5 linked regions of the Nothobranchius furzeri genome follow. The protein of the gene in region 1 interacts with the protein of each later gene in a biochemical or structural test. Links are inferred from orthologs where the notes say so. Each region holds a gene or a part of one and is shown in the gene's direction. Other genes may lie near its edges. The genes, in order: fbxo7, cdc34b, skp1, uxt and pink1.

Evidence for each region.
Region 2: the proteins of fbxo7 (region 1) and cdc34b form a complex in vitro, tested with the Homo sapiens proteins (2 studies listed by BioGRID, with this or other methods). The link is inferred for Nothobranchius furzeri from reciprocal best matches to the Homo sapiens genes FBXO7 and CDC34.
Region 3: the proteins of fbxo7 (region 1) and skp1 form a complex in vitro, tested with the Homo sapiens proteins (3 studies listed by BioGRID). The link is inferred for Nothobranchius furzeri from reciprocal best matches to the Homo sapiens genes FBXO7 and SKP1.
Region 4: of the proteins of fbxo7 (region 1) and uxt, one has a biochemical effect on the other in vitro, tested with the Homo sapiens proteins (2 studies listed by BioGRID). The link is inferred for Nothobranchius furzeri from reciprocal best matches to the Homo sapiens genes FBXO7 and UXT.
Region 5: the proteins of fbxo7 (region 1) and pink1 form a complex in vitro, tested with the Homo sapiens proteins (2 studies listed by BioGRID, with this or other methods). The link is inferred for Nothobranchius furzeri from reciprocal best matches to the Homo sapiens genes FBXO7 and PINK1.

Annotation. Positions count from the first base shown.
Region 1 is NC_091741.1:31,395,734-31,401,726, reverse strand, and holds the start of fbxo7 (F-box only protein 7), read left to right. Parts: upstream 1-2,341; 5' UTR 2,342-3,458; coding exon 3,459-3,552; intron 3,553-3,590; exon of another isoform or gene 3,591-3,791; intron 3,792-3,985; coding exon 3,986-4,112; intron 4,113-4,211; coding exon 4,212-4,407; intron 4,408-5,993. UniProt on the Homo sapiens protein: Substrate recognition component of a SCF (SKP1-CUL1-F-box protein) E3 ubiquitin-protein ligase complex which mediates the ubiquitination and subsequent proteasomal degradation of target proteins and plays a role in several biological processes such as cell cycle, cell proliferation, or maintenance of chromosome stability.
Region 2 is NC_091751.1:57,907,386-57,913,383, forward strand, and holds the start of cdc34b (cell division cycle 34 homolog (S. cerevisiae) b), read left to right. Parts: upstream 1-2,451; coding exon 2,452-2,637; intron 2,638-2,721; coding exon 2,722-2,808; intron 2,809-2,899; coding exon 2,900-2,997; intron 2,998-4,574; coding exon 4,575-4,709; intron 4,710-4,822; coding exon 4,823-5,033; 3' UTR 5,034-5,998. Other genes in the region: splicing factor Cactin, read right to left, coding at 1-506, 1,028-1,326. UniProt on the Homo sapiens protein: E2 ubiquitin-conjugating enzyme that accepts ubiquitin from an E1 ubiquitin-activating protein, and catalyzes its covalent attachment to other proteins by an E3 ubiquitin-protein ligase complex. In vitro catalyzes 'Lys-48'-linked polyubiquitination.
Region 3 is NC_091750.1:60,004,780-60,009,935, reverse strand, and holds the end of skp1 (S-phase kinase-associated protein 1), read left to right. Parts: intron 1-354; coding exon 355-498; intron 499-2,707; coding exon 2,708-2,848; intron 2,849-2,920; coding exon 2,921-2,956; 3' UTR 2,957-3,483; downstream 3,484-5,156. Other genes in the region: tcf7 (transcription factor 7), read right to left, coding at 4,570-4,948. UniProt on the Homo sapiens protein: Essential component of the SCF (SKP1-CUL1-F-box protein) ubiquitin ligase complex, which mediates the ubiquitination of proteins involved in cell cycle progression, signal transduction and transcription.
Region 4 is NC_091755.1:47,133,517-47,139,515, forward strand, and holds uxt (protein UXT), read left to right. Parts: upstream 1-2,614; 5' UTR 2,615-2,792; coding exon 2,793-2,878; intron 2,879-3,181; exon of another isoform or gene 3,182-3,204; intron 3,205-3,518; coding exon 3,519-3,600; intron 3,601-4,036; coding exon 4,037-4,104; intron 4,105-4,242; coding exon 4,243-4,350; intron 4,351-4,513; coding exon 4,514-4,577; intron 4,578-4,842; coding exon 4,843-4,905; 3' UTR 4,906-5,074; downstream 5,075-5,999. Other genes in the region: cdk20 (cyclin-dependent kinase 20), read right to left, coding at 1-1, 119-181, 412-533, 734-922, 1,352-1,465, 1,557-1,631. UniProt on the Homo sapiens protein: Involved in gene transcription regulation. Acts in concert with the corepressor URI1 to regulate androgen receptor AR-mediated transcription. Together with URI1, associates with chromatin to the NKX3-1 promoter region.
Region 5 is NC_091755.1:38,774,831-38,780,385, reverse strand, and holds the end of pink1 (serine/threonine-protein kinase PINK1, mitochondrial), read left to right. Parts: coding exon 1-66; intron 67-1,498; coding exon 1,499-1,729; intron 1,730-1,830; coding exon 1,831-2,115; 3' UTR 2,116-4,269; downstream 4,270-5,555. UniProt on the Homo sapiens protein: Serine/threonine-protein kinase which acts as a sensor of mitochondrial damage and protects against mitochondrial dysfunction during cellular stress.

The DNA of each region.
Region 1 (5,993 bases):
TTTAAAGCAACTGTTCAATCTTTACTGTCCTCAGCATCTCAGAGGCATGTAGCAGAGGGCAATATTCTCAGTTCTAGCCCCTCACAAATTGATGCCTTAGTTCATCATGTTAATTCCTCTTTACGTGTGGCATTAGATGATGTTGCCCCTTTAAAAAAGAAGGTAATTAGGGACAGGAAGTTGGCTCCCTGGTTTAACCTCATCTACGAGCCTTAAAACAAAACTCTAGGAAATTGGAGAGAACATGGCGCTCTACGCACCATGAGGACGCCTACCTATCCTGGAAAAATAGTCTTGTGCTTTATAAAAATAAGCTTCAACAAACTAGAACTGCTTATTTCTCAGCATTAATTGAGGAGAATAAGCATAATCCTAAATTTCTTTTCAGTACAGTTGCTAAACTTACACAGAATCATAGCTCTGAACCATCTATTCCCTTAGCCCTCAGCAGCAATGACTTCATGGGGTTTTTTACAAGTAAAATTAATTCTATTATAAACAAAATCTTAAGCATCCTCCCTAATGCGATTTCTTCTTCCTCAGTAAGTGAGGCAGCATCAGAGGTGACTGTAGAACCTCATCTGTGCTTGAACCGTTCTGATCCAGTTGAGCTTTCAGAGTTATCAAAAATATTAGCTTCATCTAAACCTTCAACTTGCATTTTGGATCCAATCCCAACCAAATTATTTAAAGAAGCATTTCCTTTGATTACATCTAGAATGGGGGCAGTAACCAATCTATCCTTAGTAAATGGGTATGTACCACAAGATTTTAAGGTTGCTGTAATCAAACCTTCACTTAAGAAGCCTTCTCTGGATCCAGATGACCCAATGAATTATAGACCAGTATCTAACCTTCCATTTTTATCCACAGTCCTGGAGAAAATAGTGGCCATCCAAGTATGTGAGCATTTAAACACTAATGCTCTGTTTGAGGAATTTCAGTCTGGTTTTAGAGAGTATCACAGCACTGAAACTGCATTAGTGAGAGTTACAAATGATATTCTCATGGCCTCAGATAAGAATCTTGTGTCTGTTCTAGTCTTGTTAGATCTCAGTGCTGCCTTTGACACAGTTGATCACAATGTTCTTTTAGAAAGACTTGAACATGTTGTAGGGATCAAAGGAACAGCGTTAGGCTGGTTTAAATCCTACCTGTCTGACAGATTTCATTTTGTAAATGTACATGACAAATCTTCTTCATACTCCAGGGTTACTTGTGGAGTACCACAGGGTTCAGTGCTTGGACCAATTCTTTTTACTATATATATGCTCCCAATTGGTAAAATCATTAGACAACATGGGATAAATCTCCACTGTTATGCTGACGATACCCAGTTATATTCATCCATTAACTCTGATGAACCTAATCGGTTGGGTAGATTACAGGCTTGTCTTGAGGACATACAAAATTGGATGACTCAAAACGTTTTGCTTTTAAATCAAGACAAGACGGAAGTTTTCATCTTTGGTCCTGAAATTCAGAAAAGGATTGCTTAGTCAATCACCTGACCTGAATGGCATTACATTAATCTCCGAGAACAAAGTAAGGAACCTTTGTGTTATCTTTGACCGGGACATGTCATTCAAATCCCACCTTAAGCAGGTTTGTAAGATTTCCTTTTTCCACCTTCGGAATATTGCTAAGATGAGAAGCATACTTTCCAGGAGTGATGCTGAAAAACTAGTTCCTGCATTTATTACATCAAGACTGGATTACTGTAATTCATTACTCTCAGGAAGTCCACAGAATGTAGTTAAAAGTCTTCAGCTTGTCCAAAATGCTGCAGCTGGAGTTCTGATGAGAATTAAAAAGAGAGATCATATCTCTCCTGTCTTAGCTTCCCTACATTGGCTACCTGTTAAATTCAGAATAGATTTTAAGATCCTTCTTCTCACATATAAAGCTCTTAATAATCAAGCTCCATCATACATCAGTGATCTGATTGTTCCATACGTTCCTAACCGAGCACTTCACTCTCAGACTGAAGGTCTACTGGTGGTTCCCAGAATATCTAAAATTATGATGGGAGGCAGATCTTTTAGTTATCAGGCTCCTCTCCTGTGGAACCAGCTCCCAGTCTTAGTCCGTGAGGCAGACACCTTGTCTACTTTTAAGAATAGGCTTAAAACATTTTTTATTTGATAGGGCCTATGGTTAAAATCTGATGTTAGCCTAAATAAGGACAAGTGGGGGAGTAGAGGGAGGTGGAGTGTACAGTCGGTAAAGACGGCTCTCCCTTGCCCTGCCTCCAATATGCCTCATTCTAAAAAGGCTAGGTTATCCAGAGTTATCTCTGTAGTTATGCTGCTATAGGCTTAGACTGCTGGAGGATACAATGACCACTTTCCACACTCACCTACTTTGTTCTACAATCTGCCCTTTAACTGTATTACTTCCTGCTATTTCAGCTGTTAACTTTATTTTCTCTCTAAGTGTTTTTCTCCCCAGAAGAAGCTACAATGATGTTCTGCTGAGCTGTGGTGGCCTCATGGAGGGGGCCATCGTCTAGCACACTGCTGCTAACCACTTAAACATTCTCCCTCTCCTGATAACTTTTTACTCTCTTTGATGTTGGATGTGCTACTACTAGTTTACCCGTTTAATTATAGATCCACTAGGATAAATACAATAAAGTTTATCTCTCACCAAATAGAATATTTACTAAGACATCACAATGTAACCACAGAATCAGAAACTTTTTTCTGATTGGCTTAATGAATTGACCTGTATTGGAATGGTTATTATGTGAAGTACCTTGAGACGACTCTTGTCGCGATTAGGCCCTATATAAATAAACTTGAATTTAATTAAATTAAAAGTTTAAATACATGAGGAGCTGGGACCTTGAGTGATTGGAAGACAAGAGGCAAGTGGGAGCAATTAACATGGACACAGAACTGAACGGAAACTGGGGAGACAAGACAAACTGTGACACATACATTGGTGATCTTAGTCCCTACACCCCCAGCATGTCCATGAGTTCCAGTGACCAAAGCCTACTGGTTGTGGAGCACCAGGCTAAAGACCAAAGGTGACAGATCATCTGCTGCTGTGGCCCCCAGACTCTGAACCTCTCTCCCCCTGAGCCTGAGATCAGTGGACTCAGTGGTCTCCTTTAAACTCACCCGTTAAGGCTTTGGTGGGACCTTCAACACCACCACCTTGTTCTTATTCTGCCTTTCCTGGAATCCACTGATTTCCCTCTTTCCTATAAAATTTCTCTCTCCCTTTCCATTATATATTTAATATAATGTTTACTTTTTTCTTTAATTTTAAACATATTTTTATTCTTTTTTTTTTACTTTTTAAATTTTATTAAATTTTTTTGTGAAGCTCCTCGTGATTTTTATGTTGAGAGGTGCTAAACTGTTCTGGGTCTTATTTTGAAAAGTCGAAGCGGAAATTACGTCTCTTCAGTTTCCGATGTTTCGTTTTCACTGATAGGAGAGAATTTCATGTTCTATTATAATGTGAGCTTTTCTCGGTTTACCTGTGAAGTTCTGGGACTTTCTGAAGATAACCCGCAGGTTTCACTAACTACCCGTCCAGGTTAGTTAGCTAGCTTGTCTCGTGCTACGCAGCAAATACGAAACGTTTGATATGAAAGGAAAACGAAATCGTCATTTTCCAGAAGCGATCGTTTATTTTACAGCACTGTCGTGCGTGCTTATTTCGTTATTATTATTGGAACCGTAATCTAACAGATTTTCATGACACTTCTTTGTTCGTAAGCTTTTTGGATAAACCTGTGAGTCTCTTACATGGTGGAGGTTGGAGTGTGACTAAAGGTGTGGACAGAAGTTGGTGCCATTCCCATGTAAACATTCTGTGCTTTAGGCGCATTTATTCATCTATAAGAACCGATTTTGGTTGGAATCCTGAATCTGAGGTTTAAAGTTCAGTTGCTATAAGTTGAACATGTTTTTTATGTAAGTAGAGGTCATGTGATCTTACGGAAGCCGGTGTGTTTTGTTTATTTCAGACAACATGAAGCTACGGGTCCGGATCAACAAGCAGACCAGCAGGGTGGACTTACCTGGAGAAGAACCCACTCTCACAGAACTCTCAGATGTCATCAAGCAGACACTGCTGACTTCTACTGGACTTGGGTCAGACTTCCGGATGGATCCATTTATTCTCTTTTTCTTGTCTCTTAACCAGCGTGTGTCCCAACGGCTCAATGCTCCGTTTTCTTCATCTCCTTTCAGTCTGAACACAGAATTCAGCTTGTCTCTGAACGGCTCTGAGCTTCTGTTGGACTCTGGTCAGACCCTGTCTTCCTTTGGGATCGTTTCTGGAGATCTGATCTGTGTGCTGCTCCGGCAGCCTCCAGCAGTCGCCGTGACCTCAGGGGAAACCAGCTCCACAGCCCCAATAACTGACGATCAGCAGACCGCCACTCAGGTGAGCTCACAGTGACGCAAAAGTGGGTACGCAGTGTATGCGACACATGGGGCGCCAAAGCAATGATGCAAGAACATTTTAGTCTGACGTTCCTCTGTTTAATAACAGCCGTGTTCTTGTCCATTTGTGTATCTGCTAATTATATCATTAATAAGAGAGAAGCACATCAGTGATTAGGCGCCCCTCCGCTTGTTAACCCCCCACACCAAAACAGCGCTCTGCCACCACACCACTACACTCTGGGGTTGGAGTAGATGGTTTTATACACGAGCCACAGAAGTTGTGCGTTTATTTATTTAAACGTTGTAGAAGCTAGTCGCACTAATGGAGCCCAGCTCTGGTGTCACAATGAGAGCTAACGTGAGCAGCTCCTGTCTAACGGGGACGGCGGGTGGAACCAGGCCCCAACTGGGGAAATTCCCGATGGCCCGGTTGAGTTCAGTGTTGTTGTTTTTTGGGCTGGTGTCACTCTAGATCACCTGCTGCTGATGAGAGGAGCTCTCCTGTCAGGCACTGGTGAGCTGCTGCCAACCCAAACCCAACCAGCTTCTGCTCCTAGGAACACGTTCTAGCTCAGACTGTAGTGACCTGTTATTTATAGTTTATAATTAATGTTAGGTATATTCCACAGCTGATGGAAAATGAGATTAAATAACCTGAACATGTTCTCCCACAGCTCAGCTCTGTTAGAAATGAGCAGATGTCTGCTTCAGCTGGACTACATCAAGTAGAAAAGTGTCCACAGATAACTGATCTTTAAACTTTAATATTGATTTTATTTCATTTCTAAGGTCTGGATGTCTGTGAACTAGGGCTGGGGGTAAACGATTATTTTTAAAACGATTATTCTGACGATTATTTTATCGAATAGTCGACTATTCTAATGATTATTTAGACGATTAATCTAACGATTATTTTTCTATTGCACAATTACTAAAAACCAGAAAATCTCAAATAAATTCCTCAAAAAACTTGATAAATGGTTACTGTAAGAGAATAAACACTACAGGCCTTCCATCTTGTATAACACTGCTTTTATTGTGTTGGTTGGTTATGTTCTGGTGACATGTAGAACGTGGGAGTGCAGGCTGCTGCCTGAGAGGTGGTAGAAGATGGAGTGTCTTCATGCTGCTTTGTTTTGGTCACTTATGAGTGTGAGGCGAGTGGTGTTACGACCCTTCCTGGGGAGTTTGGCTCGTGTGCAAAAATGAAGGGACAATAACGGGATTTAAAAGTTAAAATGATGATCGGGTTTATTTACAACAACAATAAAACAAATCTTTCCATCCACATGTTGGGAATAATAAAACTAATTCTGTCTGTGGGGAATTAAAACGAAAGTACAAATAACTAGGGATGTCCCACTGGGCAAAGATTACTGGGTTCTGGACCAAAATAAGGATCTCCAAAGGTCCAAACTCTAAACTGGGCGGTTAAACCAAACTCAAGGTGATATTTTAAACTAAACCAAAAACCCACAACACTCTAAATGTAATAAAAGGGAGATCTGCACCTCAAAAAAGATGAACTCTAAACCAAAACGTAACAGCTTATCCAAAGGGCAAGAAGCTGTTAGCGAAGATGCT
Region 2 (5,998 bases), on another chromosome or scaffold:
ACCCCATCTTTTCTCTCCTTTTTTTCTCCTTAGCTTCTTTCTTCGCCAACCTTCTGGCTCTCTTCTCCTCTGGCGTCTCCAGTGCTTTCATCATCTCCCTCTTGTTCTTCCTCTCAGTTTTCTCTTTGATTGCTCGGCTCTCGCAATCTGACCCTGAACTCTCAGATGACTCGGAAGAACTGGGGCTTTGCCTCCCTCTGTTCCCATCAGCCCTATCTCTGCTCCTCTTACTCCTCCCCCTTTCCCTCTCCTTGCTCTTCCTTCTCGTCCAGCTTTCGTCCCTGTCTTTTGTCCTTTCTCTGTCTCTGCTGTTGCTTCTCCACCGCTCCCTCATCTGTCTGTCTCTGACTGGACTGTTTCTTCTCCTCCTCCTTTCTCTTTCTCTGCTTGCATCACTTGAATCAGAGGCAGACTGGGACCTTCCCCTTCTTCTCTCGTGGGATCTACTGCTGCGTTTCTCCATCTCTTTCCTTCTCCTTCTCATCTTGGAATTATCTGAATCAGGACTGAGACAAAAATAGAATTTAGTGTGAAAATTAAATGAATATAAACGCATAAATTATGACTAGTATCAAGAGATCATTTTATAAGCCTTTTACAGTGTTTAACACCTATTCTATATATAATCTAGGAGTGTTTAATGATCTATTGGATTACAACGGTTTTTATAATTAATCAAAGTAAAATTCGTTTCAACCTGCTTCTAAACAGTTACATGCAGACATTTACTGTAAATATAGTGTTTAAAAACACCTGTCGCAATAACCACCTGTGGGTTACACCCACCCACCACCTATAAATATGACTTATTGGAGGAAAGATGATGAAAATCTGCCAATCTCAAGCGACTCTCTATTCTGAATAATAGATCACAAACAAAAATATATTTTGACTGTGGCGACTTTCTTCATTTTTTGCGCTGCGTGAGTCAAAAACAAGTTAATGTGTGAATCTCAAGTTGGACGAGTGAAGCTTAACTAACAGACACAACCTTTTATCGTACTGTAACATATTGTGTTAAAATTACCTCGATGCACGATCCTTTGATTTGCTGCTGTGGCGCGGCGCTCTTCGACATCTGTCCCCCTCCGATTCACTCCTGGACCCTGATCGGCCCCTATGTTGAGGTCGGGCCCGAGAGCCATCGCTCGAAGCCTCGCTGCTGGATCTGCCTCGACCCAGTGTGGTCCTTTTCGGGCTCGGAGACCTGTTGCGACCTCTCCTCTCATCTGGAGATCGCGACCTGTTTACTCTGGACTTGTTTCGGTGATCTCTGCCCCGACTTATGGACCTGGAACGAGACCTACGCCGTGTTTTCGAACCCATCACGAACTTTCTTCTTTTCGGGGCCCTAAATGCAGTCTGTCGCGTAAATAGGAGGCATTGACGAAACACTGTTGATTATAATAACGTTTACAATCGCACTAATAAAAACATATGTCTATGTTTAATGTTCGCATACTCTAACGTGTGCTATGACAGAAAAAATTACGTGTCAGATTTCTTTTATAAAAAATCCAAATGTATTTAGTAAGGCAAAGAAAAGCTAGCCTAAATGGGCTTTCCTGAGCACTGGCGCAGATTAAAACGTCACAGCCACTTAATAAACTACAAATTAGCCACAAATGAACGCAGGATTGTTTTTCTTACAATTTAGTTATGTCGGTGATAAAATACTATTATTGATGTCATAGATATTTCGTCCATAGTAACCGCTACCGTATTTAAACAGTTTAACAGGAAAATGCAAGCACAAACAAACTTATTTTTCTTTTTGGGCATTTAAAATAAAAATAAAAACATCATAAATAAAAAGAACAGGAATTATATTATACCAGGGTTTTCAGTTATTTTGGTTTCACGTTTTTTTAATCTAACAAACGCGGAATGAAAGACTACCAGTCCCAGCCAACAACAGGGCGCCATTACCTGTTTTTACCAGGGGACTCTTTCAGCAACACATTTCCTTTCGCAGCTTTCTATGAGGGCTAAACAATTATGGTTACTGGAGGTATAGTTTGGCGTAGTGTCACATGACTTTTTGCGTTTGTCTTTTCAAATTGCCATTTTATGTAGTTATTTTGTGTTTTTGCGGTAATTACGTCGCTCCAGCTGGTCAATTAGACGGAGCTTGTTAGCTTTCCTTAGCTAACAGTAGATTTAAGGCTTATATCAGCTGCTGCTCTGCCAGGTAAATCAGCCAAAGCTGTTGAGCCTCTCAGACACAATGTGTTTCTCGTTTATAACATTACTGAGTTTTGACATTAATAACGTTTAATTTGGGAACAGACCAACCGCAGTCTTTGTTTTGCTTTTACGCGCGGTCGGCCTGTTTTCTTTGCCTCCGAACATCGAAAAAGGAGAAGTTGTGCTGTTTGCTGGCTTGGCTAGCTTAGCCGTGTAAACAAAAGCTGTCGCCTCCAGATAATCCTGAAAGCTTCATAAATCATTATGGCGCAACACGACCCTTCTCATGTAGCTAGTTCGCAGAAAGCTCTCATGTTGGAAATGAAGAGCCTCCAGGAAGAGCCTGTGGAGGGATTTAAAATCACTCTGGTGGACGAGGCTGATTTATACAACTGGGAAGTCGCCATTTTTGGTCCACCAAACACTCATTATGAAGGGGGATATTTCAAGGTAAGGTTGTAATTAAAATCAGATGACATATAAGAAATGACCGTAGTTTAAAAAATAACAAGATGTCCCCATTTTCCCCCCTAGGCAAGGATCAAGTTTCCTACAGATTATCCTTACTCCCCTCCTGCTTTCCGCTTCCTAACCAAAATGTGGCATCCCAACATCTATGAGGTTAAATATTGACGTGTGTGTACTCATAACAGTGTATTTAATTTGAATGAATGCATCTGATGATGGAATGTATTTGTTTCCCCTCTTGTAGAATGGAGATGTGTGTATTTCTATACTGCACCCTCCAGTGGATGACCCGCAGAGCGGAGAGCTCCCATCAGAGAGATGGAATCCAACCCAGAATGTTCGGTTAGCATTTCTCTTTCTAATCATATTCTCTCTATACGTTTCTCCTTTCTGGTCTCCTTCCATCTTTGTCCACTTTGCAATCACTTCAATGGTTCACCCAGCGCAGACTCTTATCTTATGACATTCATTATCAGCAGCATCTTCTTCACCGGCTGCAGCAGCCAGCAGTAAAGCTAGATCTGCATCTTCCTCTTATTTACAAACAAAATTAAATTGATCTTTGGATAATATCATACTATGCAAACTAAGATTTTGTTGGTTTATTTCTATGAAAAACATACTTTGAGTACCTTAATTCATTGTGACTCACAATAAGTGTATCGCATGAGTTTGACAGCATTTTGCTGCAGAAGAGGGAGAAAATGCATCTTTATTTATTATAAACTTCCTTCTGAGGTTATTTGTCAGGCTCACATTATGCAATCTGTGCACAAAAAAATGTATCTTTGATCTTTTTCTGTAACTGAGAGCCAGATTTCTATTCAACAAGAAACTATCTATGTAAAAGCCACCACAACGATGTCACACTCACAAGTGATATTAAACCTGTGATCTGTAGTAGTCGAAATCACACAACTTCAGCAGTGTTACAAAGATGTAAGCTCTGGTGGTTTCGGTCACTTGATGCAGTGCAGCTCTTATGTTTTTGTTGTTGCAGGTGGTATACCGTTAACCTAACCTAATTTCCTCATTTGCATTTTTGCTGCAGACACATTAGATCTGTAGATCAGGAAGTCTGTCACAAAGGCTGTTCCTTTGGCCACAAACAGAAGCAGCTTCTTTCTGTTTCCCATAACGACTCACTAAAACCTTACTCACAATGCTACGTTTTATAAATGTAATGTAAAGGCTTGTCAGTGCGCATTGTGCGCTCTGCTGAGAAGGTGATTGGCTGCAGCCCTCCATCTCTCCAGGACCTGTACGTCTCCAGAACTCGGGGGCGTGCAGGCCGGATAACAGCTGACCCTTCGCACCCGGGTCACAGACTTTTTGAGCCGCTTCCCTCAGGCAGGAGGTTACGGTCCATCCGGACCAGAACCTCCTGCCATAAGAACAGCTTCTTTCCATCTGCCGTTAGACTTGTGAATAGATTATAAACACACAACCATGCTGGTCTTCTGTACTCGACACAACGTCACGTTATCGGCCATGTTACCATTACCTGCCATTTTAGCTGAAAGTTTTATTCTAGTTTTTTTAATTATTATATTTTATTCTATTTTATTCTATTTTTAATCTTATTATTCATGTTATATGTAGCACATTAGTGCCGAAGCAAGTTCCTAGTTTGTGAATTGTTTGTTCACTGAAAATGGCAATAAACCTATTCTGATTCTGATTCTGGTAGGGTGGTAGCACATGGGTCTGACAGGTTTTTTTAATACATGTTTTATCAATTAGCTTTAAGTTCCTAATGTAATATGTGCTTCATTGTTTATTCTAATAAAATAGTAGATGAAATAAGTAATTTAGGCTTGTGACATTAAAATATTTTTTATGTGTTTAAAACTTTTTAATTCACCTAAAGTCGTTTTCTTATGGTTCTATACTAAGTTGCCTTTGTTTTTTGCTTCTAGGACCATTTTGCTGAGCGTGATCTCGCTGCTAAATGAACCCAACACCTTCTCCCCTGCCAACGTGGACGCCTCTGTCATGTACCGGAAATGGAGAGACAGCAAAGGCAAGGACCGGGAATATGTAGAGATCATCAGGTAAACATTAGTGTAATGTTATTTAAGACAAACCTCAAATATTTCTAAAAGATTTTCAAAGCCACACCATCCACACAAAAGTAATTCAGTCTTCATAAAACAAATCCCTTCAGGAAACAGGTGCTGGCCACAAAGGCAGAAGCAGAGCGAGATGGCGTGAAGGTGCCCACCACGCTAGCTGAATACTGCGTTCGTACACGCGCCCCGCCGCCAGACGAAGGCTCTGACCTCTTCTATGACTATTACTATGAAGACGATGACGTGGAGGGGGGAGACGGCGACTGTTGCTATGACGAGGATGACTCGGGCAATGAGGAGTCGTGACATTCTTGTTGTCAGAAAACCCAACCTAGCTGACGAATGCTCATCCTTTAACTCTTCCTGGGTTGCCAGATATTCTTGGTTTGCAACCAAGAGAGATTGGAAGCTTCCTTCTAAATCAGTACAAGAGCTTTTTTCCTTCAGCCTCAGAGGTTAAAACTGATGCCTCGTTGCGAGAGGGTCAGACTGTGGTCACTTTTGCACCAGCACAGCCACCAATTTTTTTTTCCAACTTCGAGAACTTTTCATCACACTGAAGCTTACTTTGCTCACAAAATCCAGTCCTGGTTTTAGTATGAAATATTTTTGGTTGGGTTTCATGATCACTGAACTGGTGCAAACTCTTAAACCATCACTTCACCTGTTTTGCATAGCTGTATTTCTCTAATTGTAACTGGGGGTGTCTCACTGGTTGTCCGCCTCGTGGTGGAAACTTTTACAGACTTCAAGATGGACAAAGGACTGCAAGTGTCCCATATTTTACAGTTTCTGTCTTTGATTGGCAGGACATGGAGGAGTTTTCATGGACAGTATGTTCAAAGTTCTCATGCATGCCAGAACTTCTTTGAAAGCTTTTTGTCTTTTTATTTTTATTTTTTAAATTGGTGGACTGTTTCCCAACGTCATGAGAGACTCGTGGCAATGGAGGGCCGTCCCGTCTGCTGGAGTCTGCTGAGTCAGCTCCTCATATGAACATTCTTACTAAAACATGAAATTGATCTCTGCTGGGTTTTTATCTTGGATGTGTTTTTCTGTCACTCAGTGTGGGGTTGTGTTTTTTTGAATGAACTTGTTATTAAAGTTGTGTAATAATCAAGTTGTTGAAGGTTAGAGGGGCAGAACTAATTATTGATTAGAATTGTATTTCTCCTCAGCGTTGCTCTCTGAGCCGCCTGATGGACCCGAAGAACTAAAGCAGAGTGTAAATTAAATTTTAATACGCTTTGCCAGATGTTTCTCTTTTTGCT
Region 3 (5,156 bases), on another chromosome or scaffold:
GGCGAGATTAAAATTAATGGTCACAGAATAAATAATGCATCCACTATTAAATTAGTAGTCGAGTATTTTGTTTGTTGATGTTGTGACGAGTCGACTAATCATGGCAGCCCTATATAACTTATTAAGAGGATGCTCAGTCTGTCTTTGTTATGTTCTGTCCTGCCAAATCAACTGACACGCTCCTTTAATCCAGATAAAGGTAAAACTGTACGTGTAGATGCACCTCAGCAGAAGATCTCAAAATTCCTTCATCACGGGGGAATGTTGTGCACATGTTTCTGTCTGCGTAAATCTTAACACGAATGTATAAAATTATGTAGTTTCAGTTAAGAATAAACATGTTTTCCCCTTTAGGTGATTCAGTGGTGCACTCATCACAAAGATGATCCTCCTCCTCCCGAGGATGATGAGAACAAAGAGAAAAGGACGGACGACATTCCCGTCTGGGACCAGGAGTTCCTCAAAGTGGACCAAGGCACCTTGTTTGAACTCATTCTGGTAAATATGTTTCATTAAACATTATTCTTATTTTGCTGCTAAATGCGTTAGCTACATTGAAATTGATGCTTTTCCCGCACCCCTTAAACAGATTTTCACCCCTCAGCAGAATTCTTAACTCTTGAGGTTGAATCAACTGGAAAAAATGTCCTCTCTGTTTTTAGGTCATTATTAGAAGTTTGGGTCAGGCAAAACCAGAAAAGTTGTTGTTTTTGCAAATATTACACATAGTTTATAGTTCTGCTACAAATTCTGATTGGCAGCCGACCTCTTCGCCGCAGCTCTCCATAACACTCAGCCTAAAATGCGCTCACTGTAAACATTACTATAAATAAAATAAGTGTTTAAAAAGGCAACTTATTTTGTATTGTACAGCTATAATTATTCATGTGAACTGATTTGAAATGTAGTTTATAAGAGGAGCTTGGAGACGTTAGCGATCCACTTGTGTTTGGATTAGCTTTAGCACATCATTAGTTAAAACGTAAACACTTTCTTCAAACTGAGGCTCTTCAGGAAGCTGTCTACAAGAAGTAAGATAAAAACTGATGTGTTACACAGAAACACGTCAGAATGTCCCAAAGCCCCATGAATATGTTCTTCAAACGATATAAGTGCTTGTTTTCTCTTAACTCCGATCCAGATCTTTATTTACACCCGTTACTTCAAACGTCCTCGTTTGATGATTATTTTAAAAAAAATTTTTTTTGTCAAGTTTTGTGTAATTGGGTATTCTGTAGGGATGGACAATATAACGGTATCGGCTGATGTTAGCTATTTTTTAACATATCTGTTCAATAAAGAAAACCAGGCCAATATTAACAACCGATATTTTTCCATCTTGTCCCCATTTGTTTGCCTGTTTCAGAGGGTGATGTGTAATTTAGTCTTGTGAACAGTGAATGAAATCATTTCAGAACCATAAATGTGTGTGGTGTGTGTACATAATAATGTAAATCCAGCTTTAATAATTTATAATTTTCATTCTATACAAAATCTGCTGATTTTAGAAGCATTAATGCCAGTATATCGATATCGACCAATATCGGTATCGGCACAAAAAATTTCATATCGCCGATATATGATATCGGTGCATCACTAGTATTCTGTCTAGGGATGTCCCATTCCGATATCAGAAGCAATTCATTATCGGCCCAAAAACACTATTGGATTATATCGGACTGCATCATAAATCTCCAATATAAGCAGTTTGTTAAGGTTCACATTTTTGCGACCAGTGGTTTAAAAAAAGGGTCAAATTTTTTTTCATACTTACTGTTATTGGCTCTTGTTCTCCGATTGAGTAATATCACTTCATCAAGCCTTTCATACATTCCACACTACGGAATAGGTAAAAGTATGATTTGTGCTGGTATCGTATTGAAATCGGTGTCGTATCGGGACATCCCTAATTCTGTCTTTTTTGTGGTCTGATTTGATCACCAAAAACACAAATGTTGCTTAGCAACATCTAGTAAAAGAGACAGATGCTGATTTTAAGTTGTATAAAAAGTTCCTTGTTAATGAAGTGGAAGCAGATTTGGATAATGCAGGGTATCCGCAGGTCCTTAAAAAGTCTTACATTTACTTTTCCAAATTTAAGGCCTTGAAAATCCTTAAAAATGACAAATGATCCTTAAATACAGTTTCCAAAGGTCTTAAATTACCAAAGACCCAATAAACTAGATTATTTCATTTCTATGACATTTTCGTGAATTTCCAGTTAGTGTTCAGCATTTTTTGTGTACAATGTTGGCGTAAGCGGAACCGTACACATTCAGTTGGTTGTGAAAGGGGGCTAGTTTTAGATGAGCACATTAGCTGATTAAGCTAGTGGGAGCTTACGCCATGGAGAAGTGCAAGTTTAATGGTAATTGGATGGCTAATCCCACGTTCGCGATGTGGTTAGCACCGGTTCCAGGCAATAGCTGGAAATTATAGCAGAAATTGAATTTTAAAATATAGCTTAAATTTGGTCAAAGTGGCCTTAAAAAGGTCTTAAAAAGTCTTAAATTTGACTCCCTTAAACCTGCAGTTACCCTGTAATAGTTCTGTATTTAACATGCTAACGCTAACTGGCCCAGCTTTACTGATGTAAAACTTTTATTCATAGTTCCTATATTAGACATTAAAGTTACTTATTCATCAGAGGCATTTGTGCCATCTCACAGCATCTTCCACATCCGAATGTCATTTATTTTCTGTTCAGGCCGCCAACTATTTGGACATCAAAGGCCTGTTAGACGTCACTTGCAAGACGGTGGCCAATATGATCAAAGGCAAAACCCCAGAGGAGATCAGGAAGACGTTCAACATCAAAAACGATTTCACGGAGGAGGAGGAAGCCCAGGTAAAAAAAAAAAAAGTCCTCAAAAGTGATGCTCAAGGAAAACAAAGCTTTTAAACTGCTTTTTGTCCACAGGTACGCAAAGAGAACCAGTGGTGTGAAGAAAAGTAAAAGGGAAGATGCTGCCAACACTACCACACTGAAACGATCTGTAACTGGTTGCACTGGCGATGTTCATACTTGTTAATATTTTAGTATAATTACCATCCCCCAGCTTATTATTTCTGTGTACCAATAAAAGCATGAACATTTAATTCTGACCTGTATGGTGTCATTAATTTAAAGCTGAAACGCTTGTTACCGTTTCCACTCATGAATATAATTATATTCATGGTTTCATGGCTTTGTATTTCCCTCTAAAACATAAAAAGCTACATTTTTCGTATCCTTGTTCTTTTTTCTATGGCAATGTTTTCTTTTAGATAATTAAACAACCTTCACTTTTTTGCCGATGGAAACAGGAGGGTGAATTGTTTTTGCTCTGTAAATGTATCGGTTTTGTGAACTTGTGTATAAAAATGAGCAGTTTGAAGGCGGAACGATGTCCATCATGCAGAGCGAGTTCCAGATTCATGTTTTGACACTGGAAACTTTGAGGAAATCCACATTGAAGGAGTAAATAAAACCTGTTCAGAGAGCATGTGTTACATTTTCTTGTTTCTTTGGCTCTTTTTCTTTAAATTTACTTTGAAATCATCCTTAAAATTTTAAGTTTGCAGTCTTCAGAGATATTCCAAACACTTTTATTACATCAAACAAAAACAACACACCAGGAGTTCAAAGATACAAAGACATCTTAGAGGTGTGTGTGTGCCTCAAACCTGAATGCCCCGAATAGAAAAGCACAGATTTGTATTATAAGGGCACCCTCTGCTGGAGGAAGACAACAACTCAGCATACATTTTATCCACAGTTGGGAAGCTGCAAGCAGACAGTAAATTAAAGCCTTTTATATAAAACCCTCAGAAATGTAACAAAGTTTAGGCATGCACAGATATAGTTTGAATGCTGCTGCAGTAACACTTGACTCCAAAAAAACAAAAACAAAAAAACACATTTTTAGAAAAAAAAAACTTTTTAAAAAGTAATTTACCATTTTTTTCATAAAAAACATACAAAATTTTATTTATAATATAAAACTTTACAACACATAATATTATAGTACCCATTTGGTCTCAGATGAGTTTGCAGAATGTGTGGAATGGTCAAAGGAGAAACAAACATCCGACTAAAAATTTCACAAGTCATCGACAAAAATAGGAAAAACAAAACAACAAAAACAAAAAAGGTTGAAGCTGGAGATTAAAATCCTAAAAGTGCCTGAAAACAAGTGGTTTATTCTCTTAATTGAACTTTTTGTGACATTGGCAGCAAAAATAAAAACAAATTTCTCTAAAAATCTGCGGTTCTGCTGGGATGTTGTTGTTCTCGCATGATTTAGTGGTTTGGTTAGCATTAGTGATGCATCACGGCCGAGACGTAAGAGAGATTCGTGTCAGTTTTTAATCATTTTGTGTTTGCAAAACAGCTGATTGTCATGAAGTAAGCAGCAACTGTTGAGCGAAAGAACAGCAGATCATTAAAAATTATTCATTTACAGTGACGGTGTGGTGGAGCTGGAACCTGCAGATCTCCTACGGTGGAACAACTGGGATTAAAAGCAGGAATGTTGTGAACGGATGATAATGGTGTAGAAATCCAGCTGGGCGATCGTAACAGATCAATCAGTGAGTCTCTGTTAGCACTTTGAGGGACAGTCCTGCCACCTTGGCGGCGGACAGTGCTGTAGAGCAGTGCATCTGCTTGCTGGACAGTTCCAGGTGTGTGTGGGGGAGTTTGACCACGGGCTGACGGAAGTCTGCCGCTCGTTTGCCAGCGGGTTGCTCCGGGTGGAAGCGTGTGTGTGAGTGCGTGTGCGGAGACGATGGGAGGTGTGTTGATGGGGAGGTGGGCAGCGGCGAACAGCCAGGAGAAGGGGGGCGCTGGAAGAGATGGTGGCGTGCGGGAGAAGGGGAGGGAGGAGAGTCTATAGCACTTAGATCTGAAGAAGATGGACTGGGGCAGCCTCCTCCTTGAAGGTAGCGAATGCACTTCTTTTTCCTCCTAGGGACAGTCAGAGAGAGTTATCTGTGAATAAAGTGTGGATGGTAGAACGTCAGCAGGCTTCAGTGGAGATGCAGCATTCACAATGAGGTCAATGAATATGAAGACAAACACAAGCTAAATTATTAGTGGTTTCATCTTCATTTTACGAATTATTATATATAATTGTAATAAAACAAAAACTGGCTTCCATATAGTGTGTCTAAAG
Region 4 (5,999 bases), on another chromosome or scaffold:
CCTGAAACACAGAGAGGCGTGAGCGCTGCCCTCTGCTGCTCAGCTCACAGCACTGTCACTGTGGACTCAGCCCCTGAGCAAGGCAGCAATAGCACCAGCAGCAGGGTTTCACTCTCACCACAGATCCACTCCTTCATCGTACTTCCGGGCTCCGTAGAGCAGCTCAGGAGCTCGGTACCACCTGAAAACACACACACACACACACACACACACACACACACATACACACACACACACACACACACACACACACACACACACACACACACACATACACACACACACACACACACACAAGACAAAACAATTTTTTTCTCTATTTCCTGCAGATCAAAAATTTTAATTTTCATCTTCAATCAACAAATTTTTTGTGTGACCGAGCTGTGAAAAAGGGGCGGAGCTTGTGCTTACCTGGTGGCCACCTGGTGGCTGTAAAGCCTCTCGCCTTGATCGCTGAACAGCCTGGCGAGACCGAAATCGGCGATCTTTAGGTGACCCGAGGAGCTGATGAGCAGGTTAGCTGGCTTCAGGTCCTACACACACACACACACACACACACACACACACACACACACACACACACACACCAGAACCAGAATCACAAACCCTTATGGGCCGTGGACTGTGTGTGTGTGTGTGTGTGTGTGTGTGTGTGTGTGTGTGTGTGTGTGTGTGTGTGTGTGTGTGTGTGTGTGTGTGTGTGTGTGTGCGTGTGTGTGAGCAGTGCACTCACCCGGTGCATGATGTTATTGCGATGCAGGAAGGCCACGCCCTTTAGCAGCATCATCATGTACCCCTTGACCTGTGCCGGGGTCAGAGGTCGCTGGTGGTTCCTGATGACCTCAGAGAGGTCCGACAGCATGAAGTCAAAGACCAGAACAAAGCCCGTCCCGTGGGGAAAGACGTCCTTCAGCTTCACAACCTGGAAGAGTTCAGGACAACGTTCCCAAAAGGAAGATTGAATCATTCCCAACAAAACATCTGCAGGTTTTTTTTATCAAAGCAGCTGAAGCTGAGCACCGAGGGTCCACCAGGTGTGGTGCTGTAATGGAACCAGATTTCTGCTCAGACTTAAAACCAACAGCAGATCTGGGCAACCAGGCACTTACCAGCCCCCCAGATCTCTGTGATGCTCCTCCTCGTCTCCTCAGAAGGAGGAATAGAGAACGTAAAATCATGGAAATCTGTTAATTTGGCAAATAGCTTTGTGAGGAATGGCCTGCAGATCAGGTGGATTCAGGACTGTGGTTCTGACACCATCACGAACACCAGTTTGTGGCATTTCAGTAGCATCAGGTCTGACACCTCGCTGTCCTCTGAACTGGGCAGAAGCAGCTGGAGGGACACTCACATACTGGTTGTCCTCAATCTCCTGCAGGGCCTTGATCTCCCTCAGAGCCTGGTTCGGGATGCCGTCTTCCAGCCTCCTCAGAGCCACTTTCTTCAGAGCCACCGTCTCTCCTGTCTGAGAGAAAAGGCACAAGACGAACATTCTGAGGAGGAACTGCTCTGCACCTGGAACCAGACCCAGAGGCTGGATCTTTTGCTATCGGTACCTCAATGTGTTTGGCCTTGAACACAATGCCGTGAGCTCCTTCTCCGATCCGACCCTGGATGCTGTACTGCTCCATGTCTGGGACAAGAACCTGATCCGGTCTGCTGATTTCTGCAGGAAGACCAATTTTTCATCTGATTCCACATTAAAACTTCAAGCTGTAACATTAAACTAAATAAGATATAGGTGACCTCTTTTTGAGAAAGAAAACACCTCCCAGAGCTTCTTTTACCTCCTCCAGCTGACCGACAGGAGCCAGAATTCAGACCGGAAACAAAGCTCCGTGTACAAAAGACGCCGTTTACGATTTTGCGCGTTTCAGTTCAATAAAACACCAACGTTTCTGAAATATTACGGAACGATAACTGAAATAAAGGTCGTAAGTTTTATTCGGGTTCTGAGATTATACATAAATCAGCTCGATTTCAATTGGATCCGAATTTTACAGAGGATGCTAACTCGTGTTGCCATGGTAACGTCACCACTAAGCTAAGTTAGCTCCTATGGCTTAATGAAACCGTCGAAATAATTTCAATTCGAGCAGAAATGTTTCCTGATAGTCGTTCAAGCCTGAAAGCGCGGCGAGGAGATCCGGTTTTCGGGCCTGAAACGTTTGAAAACGTTTTGTTTCAGACAAGAGCTGCGTTAGCTACGGTCACGTGACAACGGAAGTCACGACACAGATCCAAATCAGCTAGAAAAGACTCACATGTCAGTCAGAAGTGAAAATTAAATAAATAAATTATATATATATATATATATATATATATATAAATATATATGTATGGGGTTATGACATGAATGTGTATATAGGTTTTATGGGTTTTACAAATGTGTAATTTGGATGTGTTTTTAGAATTTAGAGATTTTAGTGCCGGCTGCTTCACAATGCTGTCTCGAATTGCCCCTCGGGGACTAATAAAGTTGTCTTGAGTCTTGATATATATATATATATATATATATATATATATATATATATATATATATAATCAGTCTGGAGCGTCTTCGTCTAATGCATCTATCTGTTTTATGTCTACATGCTTTATTTTGAAAATTTGGGGGCACTCAATGATTTAGTTCCGGTGTAAAGAATTATTTACATGCTAGCTTGGCATGCTAGCTGTGCTAACGGCACGTTTTTGTGTCCGAAACGGTTAATTTACATTGAGCAGAAATTCATCTGAACTGAATTAATCCGCATGAAGTTATTATTGTTGTTATTAATCTGAAAAGCTGCATGGAGGAACCTGTCGCTGAAAACGTGGACCGGAAGGTTCTGCAGTACGAAACGTTCATCAACGAGGTTCTGAAGAGAGATTTACGGTACGATTTAACTCGTATAGTTGATTTAGTTTCTCAGCTCTGCTCCTCTGTTTGGTTTTGAATTCTGAGTAGTTTCACAGATCCTGGTTTAGTTAGGGCAGGGTTGGTAGCTCTAGCTTGAAGCAGGTAAATAAAAGTTGGTGCTGGGTTCTGATGAATCTAAGCAGTTTCCGGTTAAGTTTTGATGCGATGTTTATGTCTCTACAGACACGATCATTATAGTACAGGTTAAGTTCTTTAAACGTAAATCATAAAGTTGTATTAAACACATTTGTGACAATCACTATGACCAGTGACTGGTACCTGGTTACCATGGCAGCCCCCCAGAGGGCGGGGTCTATCCGGCTAGAGAAGTTGACGCTTCATCTGAGCGACCAGAACAAAAGTCAAACTGCGGTGGTGAGTCCACAGAGTCGGATGATGTTCTGGTCTGTGGAATCAGAACCAACCAAAAAGATCCAGTGAAGGAGAACCAGAGAGTGGGTCCTGGAGAACCACGGATCCCTGGTGTGGTTCTTATCCAATAGAACAGTCAGAAAATGATTGCAAACTCATTTCAAATACTCTATTTTGACACCTCACACACACACACACACACACACACACACACACACACTGATGAAGGTGTTCTGTTTGACAGGAAGGTGTTGGAGCAGAGAGACCAGGTTTATGAGAAGATCTCCCAGTACCTGCAGCTGAAGAACACGATCCAGAGTCTGCAGGTAGTGTGTGTGTGTGTGTGTGTGTGTGTGTGTGCGTGCGTGCGTGTGTGTGTGTGTGTGTATGTGTGTGTGTGTGTGTGAGAGAGAGAGAGAGAGAGAGATTTTAAGGAGGGAGGCATCACTCTGGGAGGATCATAGGGCCTCCTCTAGGATTTTTTTCAGTTGTTTGAAATATTTTCAGCTAACATCCGCCATGTTTTAATCTCTGGAAACCTTTTAACTGCTGATGAAAATCCAGCGGAGCTGTGTGTTCTGGATCAGGAGTTCTGTTCAGGCCCGATCCAACAACAGACCAGTAACCTGAGCTCTTTAGGCCTCGTGCTGTCAATCAGAAACGCCTGTTTGTTTGTGATAGAATTTTGTGTGTGTGTATATATTTATATATGTTTATATCATGATGATGACGTTGCGGTTATGTCACTCCGTGTTCTTGCAGGAGGCGGAGTCCCAGCAGCTGAAGACAGACGTCGATCTGGGCTGCAGCTTCTATGTTCAGGCTCAAGTGTGAGTGTCTGTCTCTCTAGAGTGTCCAGCTCCTCCCTCCACAGACATTTAACCTCTTTTAGATGTTTGGTTCTGGTTCTGAGCAGTTTGGTTGTGTTTGGTCCCGGTTCTGACCCGTTGTTCCCCTCCTTTGGACAGAGACGACTCGTCCAGGATCTTCGTGGCGGTCGGTTTCGGGTTCTTCGTGGAAATGACCCACGATGAAGCTCTGCAGTTCATCACCAAGAAGACGAGTCAGCTGACAGTGTGAGCTCTGTGTTGCCGTGACAACACAAACTTTTTGTCACACGTCTCATTTTTGTCGAGCTGAGATCTAGTTCTAAATAAAGTTGAGGGAGTTTGAACGAGTGCTGTGTTAGCTCAATGTTCGGAACCAAAGATGCTAACCATGCTAACGCTTGTTTTGCAGCTTCACAGAGCAACTCACTAAAGACGCCGCCAAAATAAAAGCCAACATCCGCATGGTCCTTGAGGTCAGTTATTATGTCTATGATCTGAAGCTCTTTAATATTTGATTTGAGTTTTTCTGCTGAGTGTTTGATCTTCTATAAGTCAAAGCGAGTCAGAGACTCGGTAAGATCTGAAGTAGAGCCGGTCCGGTAGCGTCGAGGTGAGTTGGTGCTGATGGAGAGGGACGTTCTCCTCTAAAATCAGATGTGTTCATCGTGGAACCACGGAGAACCCTGATCCTCCAGATGAGGTGTCTGATTGGCTGCTATCTTCTTCCTCTGCCTTCAGGGTTTGCGGGAGCTGCAGGGACTCACCGACCTTCCCGAGAGCCAAAGAAGAGACGTCTTCTAGACTTTTCCTGGTTCTGGGCAGCAGGTGCTGCTGGGGCTGGACCTCCGGGGGAGGAGGAAACTCCTCTTCCTGGGAGGAGCTTTGTGGACAGCAGGACGAAGGTCTCCTCAGATGTTTGAAGAACATCACAGCAGTCATGAGTCTTTCCTGATTAAAATACTAAACTGAAGTTCATGTATTTTCATTTTTTCATTCATATTTTATTAATAATGAGGTTTTTAGTTTGGATTTGTTTTATTTATGTCAAACTTTAGTTTTTGTGTATATTTTTTATTGGATGTAGTTCTACTTTAGTTCTTTCTGGGATTTATTGTAATAAAATAATATCATATATTTTAGGCTTAAATGGGTAAAAGTTGTTGGTTGTTTATTTGCCAACATTTCATTTCCTGATGAATAAAATCATTCACACATTCTTCTTATAATAAATAATATTTTTAGACCTAAAAAGTGTTATTTGTCTTTTTGAACAAGCTGATTTAGATTTAAAGTGAACTTTTTTTGTTATTTTTAAGATCTTTTCCCGGTGTTATGGTTTATTTGTCTCTCAAAACCAAATATAAACTTTTGAAAGGAATTTGTCGGAATGTTCCTGAGGAACGCTGAGACGTTTAGCGGGTTTGTTGCGTTGGAAGAACGGGAACGTGCTCGAAGAGTCATGCGTGACCAGCACGTGTTAGCTCTGTGAGGCTGACGGGTGGTCAGCTGCACGAGCTCGTCAGCTTTCACGACCTTCATCCGGTGTGATGAATATCAGCTGCTCGCACAGAAGCTCGACGACGCAGAGCCTGTTTCCATGACAACGAGCTGCCGAATAGAGGTGCTGAGAGACTCTTGAAACTGAATCAGAGAAAGAAAGGAGCATCTTTTGTGTTCAGTTTGCTGCTCGGATCCAGAATCCAGCTTTTATTTCCCTGAAACACAGAAACACGTCTGGGAATGAGTCCTTTTATTCTGATAAGTACCTCTACCTGCACAACAACAGCAGCAATGACTAATATTATTATTATTAATGTTATTTGTGATGATGTGTCTGACATTCATCAAGTTTGCTTCATCTTTGCTTATAGAGTTCATATCTTCCTGGTTTTGGA
Region 5 (5,555 bases), on another chromosome or scaffold:
CTACAGCTTCCCTTCAGCAGCCTGTGTGTCAGCAGAGGAGGAAACATCTCGCTCATGGCTCCTGAGGTACGCTTCACCTCTTCTTTATCAGGATCAGAGCCAGCTTTAGCTGTTTAGTTCCTAAGGTCAGATCAGCAAACAGAAAAATGTCTCCAACTTTACTGGTTTGATTATATTGAGCTGAGAATTACTCACAAAACTTACTGGCTCAAGGGCTTGGGATCTGTTGGAAAAGTTCTTGATTAACGTGGAAACACGTGAAATTAGTATGAGTAGAAAACAGCACAGGCTAGTTAGGAATTAAGATTTTAATTGAAACGATGCTTATTTTCTTTAAACTTTAGTTTTCATTAAAGGGACTTTACGGCGTTTTGAATTTTTATGCTCGCGATTGCCCCCTCAGGCCAAAAGCATAACGGCAGCTTCAATAGTAGGCTCGTGCACGCATGCTGTACGTGCACACTCCTTAATGAAAATAACAGCTGAGACAGTCCCGTGTGTGTGTGTGTGTGTGTGTGTGTGTAGCCGGGAGGACAGGAGAACGCACAGCTAATTAATTAAATAATTTGGTTCTGTACCTTTCTCTTCAGCACAGCCGACAAAGGTTTATGATGGGTCAGTCCTCCTGCATGCTCAGATCATTCCCTTCCCTTGCTTGAAAAATTGTTCCAAAATGAAAGTTGAACCCACATCTTTTTTATCTGTGAATTCAATGCCGTTCGCCAAGTCTCAAATAAAAATTTGGGCATCTTACTGTAAAAAAATATACCATTAATGTAAAAAATAAACTATGATCACACCCAGAATCGAACCCAGGTCTTCGGCACGAGAGTCCGACGTCTTACTAGGTGAGCTAAAATGCCAATGACATCCTTTGTATCTGTAACTTTTATATCCTTGATGACAGCTGAAACAACGTTCAAAGAACGGTTCGGAGCGAAAATGGCTATTTTGTTGCTAATTTGCAGGAAATATCTAGAAGGAAGTAGCTAAGGGTGCTCAGAAATGTAGCTAGCTTTGTCACTAGGCGTTAGGAACAGCGACAAAGTGGCACTGCCTCTCTCTCTGCTGCTAAAGCTACGGATAGCAAATGCTACGGGCGATGCCTGAGCGTGAACACGCATGAAGCAGCCTGCTCGACCCGAGCATCTCTCTTTTTCTGTGATTTTACAGAAAAACAGGCAATCACAGTAAAAATGCCAGGGCTCATTCTACAGGACCAGGGCATTGCAGGAGAAAGTATGAAGAAGACATTTATTATTTCTATACATGTTATGGCTGTCACACTTCCATAATGCCCCTTTAAAAACATAAAACACCTTCAGCGACACTTCCAGCCTGGCCGACTCCAGGTGTACCTGCAGGCGTCTAACGAACAAATCAGACCCGCCGAACCGTGTGGACCACCTTGAACACAACACCAAACACTCCGGCTGTTCCTGGATTTCTCTGAGGCGGTGTGTCTTTACCTGCTGTGATGGGTTATTTGTCTCATCAGGTGGTCACCGCAGTCCCAGGAAGCGGTGTGGTGATTGACTACAGCAAGGCGGACGCCTGGGCCGTTGGGGCGATCTCCTATGAGATACTTGGAGAGCAGAACCCGTTCTATCAGGCTGGGGGACTGCGTAGCACCGACTACCAGGAGAAACAGCTTCCTCTGTTTCCTTCCAGAAGTCCAGCTGATGTGCAGTTGGTGATACAATTACTTCTCAGGAGAAACCCAGAGCGGGTAAAGCAGGATAGGTCCAGTTATAAACTGATCTCTTACACTTGGAAGCGTTTGTTTTTAATTGATGATTAGCTCTGTTTGCCTCTGTTCTTCCTCCTCAGCGGCCCAGTGCACGTGTAGCGGCTAACATGCTACATCTCAGCCTCTGGGGTCGGAAGGTTTTGGCCAGTCAGGACAGTGCTGGCACGAAGAAACTCGTTGACTGGTTGCTGTGCCAGTCTGCGGTGGTTCTCCTGAAGGGCTGTGCTGGACCCAGTGGGAATGGGGTGGAGGCGGAGCTTCAGAGAAGCTTTCTGTCCAATCTGGACCTGGTGGAGCTGCGCACCGCAATGGGCTTCCTCCTCTATGGTTGGGAGCAGCGCCGCGGCTGCTCTCTGTCAGCGTAGATCCGGTCCAAACCGTAACTCGGACCCTCAAAAAGAAACGCTGGTAGTTAAACTATGGGTGGATACCTGCTGTGTTTTTGTTGTGCTTGATTTAACATTTAGCTGCTGTATGAATGAGCAGTAGCTTAACGCTCATGCGAAAGGCCGGATTTCAGCGTCAGCTAGCTCGAAAACCTTTTATAGCACACAGAAATTTTACACGTTTACTGAAAATGACAGCTCCAGGTCTTCCTGGATTTTTTTGTATGGGATCAAATTTATTATTGAAAGTCAGAGAACGGGGTTCTGGATTTGTTCAGCCTGGTTTCACGTGAGTGAGTGAGTGAGGGAGTGAGTGAGTGAGTGAGTGAGTGAGTGAGTGAGTGAGTGAGGGAGGGAGGGAGGGAGCGAGCGAGCGAGCGGACTGCTCCCTCTCCATCATAGTTTGTATCCTCACAATGACTGTTTTCCAGCCAGATGGAGCAACATCTCACGCTAACTGGAACACAACATCATGCAGAAGGTGTGGGTGTATGCGTGAGTGATGACCCATGTGAGAAAGTCTGTGAAGGTCTAACAGAAGACGTCACCAAGGAGGAACTTTATACAAAGGACAGCTGGGAGGGAATGATTTTAGAGATCCAGAGTTCTACTGGGTCTAAATGTGCGAGAGCCGTCTGCAGGGACACCCAAGTCCAACTGGCCACTTGTTCAAGGGAAATCTGGTCAGAGGAAGTCTGGAACAAACCTTTAGAGGCTAAATTTAATCCCACACAAAGATGAGTAACATCTGTATTCAAAAGTACAAAAAACATAAATTTATATCAAAGGCTTTTGGAAGTAACTGATGTTCCAAAACGGGTCAATTCTTCCCTTTTGCTTTAGTTTTTGAATAAAAATTTCAGTACCTAATCTTTAAAAATCTAATTTATCACTGAGATGTTTGTTAATTTAAAAAAAAAAACTAAAAATTCTGTAATGAGAGTAGAAATGGCTGCTGGTGGTTAAGAGTAGATCCTGTCTCCTGAAAGCTCTCATGCACATTTGTAGACACAGGTCTGTCACAGTGTGGAAGTGACCAATGCAGATATTTAAAATTAAAACCATGTTACACTTGTGAGGATCTACTGGGTAGGGTGAGGTCAGCTACCTGCAGGTGCAACATCTGAAACCCTCTCCAAAGAGCTGGTTTTAGGAGGTTTCTGCGTAACGTGTGTTCGGCATGCTTAACAAAGATGAAGTCATGGTAAAACATCCATAGATCATTAGTACCATGCACAGGGGCGGATCTATAAGGGTGGCATAGGGTGGCAGTTGCCACCCTAAAAGAAAGCCTTGCTACCGCTGCTGCCACCCCAGCTGGTAGCTATAAATTCAAGAAAAATCAACGTTTTTCAACTGTCTGGCTCATAAAGACCTATTTGCAGTCTCCTTTGACAGAGAAAAGACTATGAAGCTAGGCTGTACTCAGCATTGAATCAAAACGGGCAAAATCTTTGGACCTTGATGAATGTGTAAATTGTTTTGCTGAGCAACATGGAAACTGCCGCATTCAGCTGTTGTAGGAAGGACATAATTTTATTATGTGTTTTATTTTCATGATGGGCCTTTAAGCTTATTAAATGAGGACCCAAAACAAATGAATATGCAAATCCTGGGAAAATAAAAAGGAAAACGTCTCTCTCTCTCTCTCTCTCTCTCTCTCTCTCTCTCTCTCTCTCTCTCTCTCTCTCTCTCTCTCTCTCTCTCTCTCTCTATCTCTATCTCTATCTATCTATCTATCTATCTATCTATCTATCTATGTGTGTGTGTATATATATATGAATGGCCACCCTAGAAAAATGTTTGCCCCTCTTCTGCCACCCCATAAATAATTTTGTAGATCCGCCCCTGACCATGCATAATAATGCACTCCGTTTTCCTGTTTGCATTTTTCTAGAATTGTATTCAAGAATAGTTGGTGTTTTAAATGTGTTATAAATGAAAAGCAACCATTTCACCGTCGCTAGAAAGACAGATTCATTTACTGCACTATATGGTTATTTTCAGCTGTACGTCAGTAGTTTGGGATGCAAATCCATGTTGTAATTATAGTTTGGTACATTGAAGATTGTTGGAAATATTTTTGGACATGTAGAAAGGTTGAATTTCAGAATAAAATCATTTCAAACGCAATTATCTCCAATTATGGTTAATGTTTGATTTCAGTGCACCCTTCAGCTTTTTGTTACCTTTGCAATGAATTTGACTGAATTTTGAGTTTTGGTTGGTGATGATGTTTTTGTTGGTTTGTGTGTCAAAATATCTTATGGAGGACTGGATGGATTTTAATGCAACAGTCAGAAATCAATTATTGCTGATTGGCATTTCAAATGAAGCCAATTCAAGATGGCCACCACAGCTGCATAATATTAGAAAACACAAAAATGACTAACCCAATCATTTTGATAGTAGCTGAGTCATTCAGTGTGAGGTCACACTATGAATACGTGTCATAAGTAGTGCAAGGTCGTCAATCTTTCAGTGCCTGGGCAGATTTTCTATTGAGTCTTTGCTGGTATTTAGTTTAAAATGAAGCAGTTTCTTTAAAACAGCTAACATTACACTCTTAAAGTGACAACGTGTATTTTCCCTGGCGATAAGTGGCAATACATACCTAAGTCATCACAAGCAAGCTGTAGTTTTGTGTTTGAGTAAGACCTTATCAACAGATGGCCATTAGGGTCAAAAATCTCTGTGAGTGCAGCCTCCAGCAAAATAAGCACATCAGACTCCCTTTCATCACTGGCAGTGAGTGATGAGGTAATGTGTAAAGCAATAACATTTATGAATGGTAAAAGTTTTGTAACTGTTCGTTACAAATCATTAAATGTATATTGTCCTCTACGGGCTCCCGTAGAAGGAAACACAGCATCTAATATGGTGTCACCCAGAGACTTAGGCCTAGTCCACACGTAGCCGGGTTTTTTAAACGAATATCCGCCCCTCCAAAAACTTGCATCCACACCACCTCGTTTAAAAAAAAAACTGTCCACACGTACCCGGATAAATTCGTTGTTAAGGACATGCCAGACCTGTAGGCGGCAGTACTTCCCCCGTTCTTAACCTCGTCCTTCGTCTGTGGTCTTCCGCAAGGAGCAGTAATTCCTCTTGCAAAAACAAACAAGCAAAAAGCGCTTGGACAATTGATAAAGCGAGCGCAGCTCTGAGGGCATCCATGCTGTCGGCTAGTGTAAACACAGGTCGCACACGTGATGTCAGGATTTTTTTGTCGCGGAAAGTGACGTTGCGGACCTTAAAACTCCGGTTTTGTCTGTCCACACGCAGACACCCAAAACGGAGAAAACGCAGATCTTCACTTTGGCCGGAGTTTTTAAAAAGATCCGTTTTCGTGTGGATGACAGGCCAAAACGTAGAAAAATATCTACGTTCTGGCAGATCCCCGGCTACGTGTGGACAGG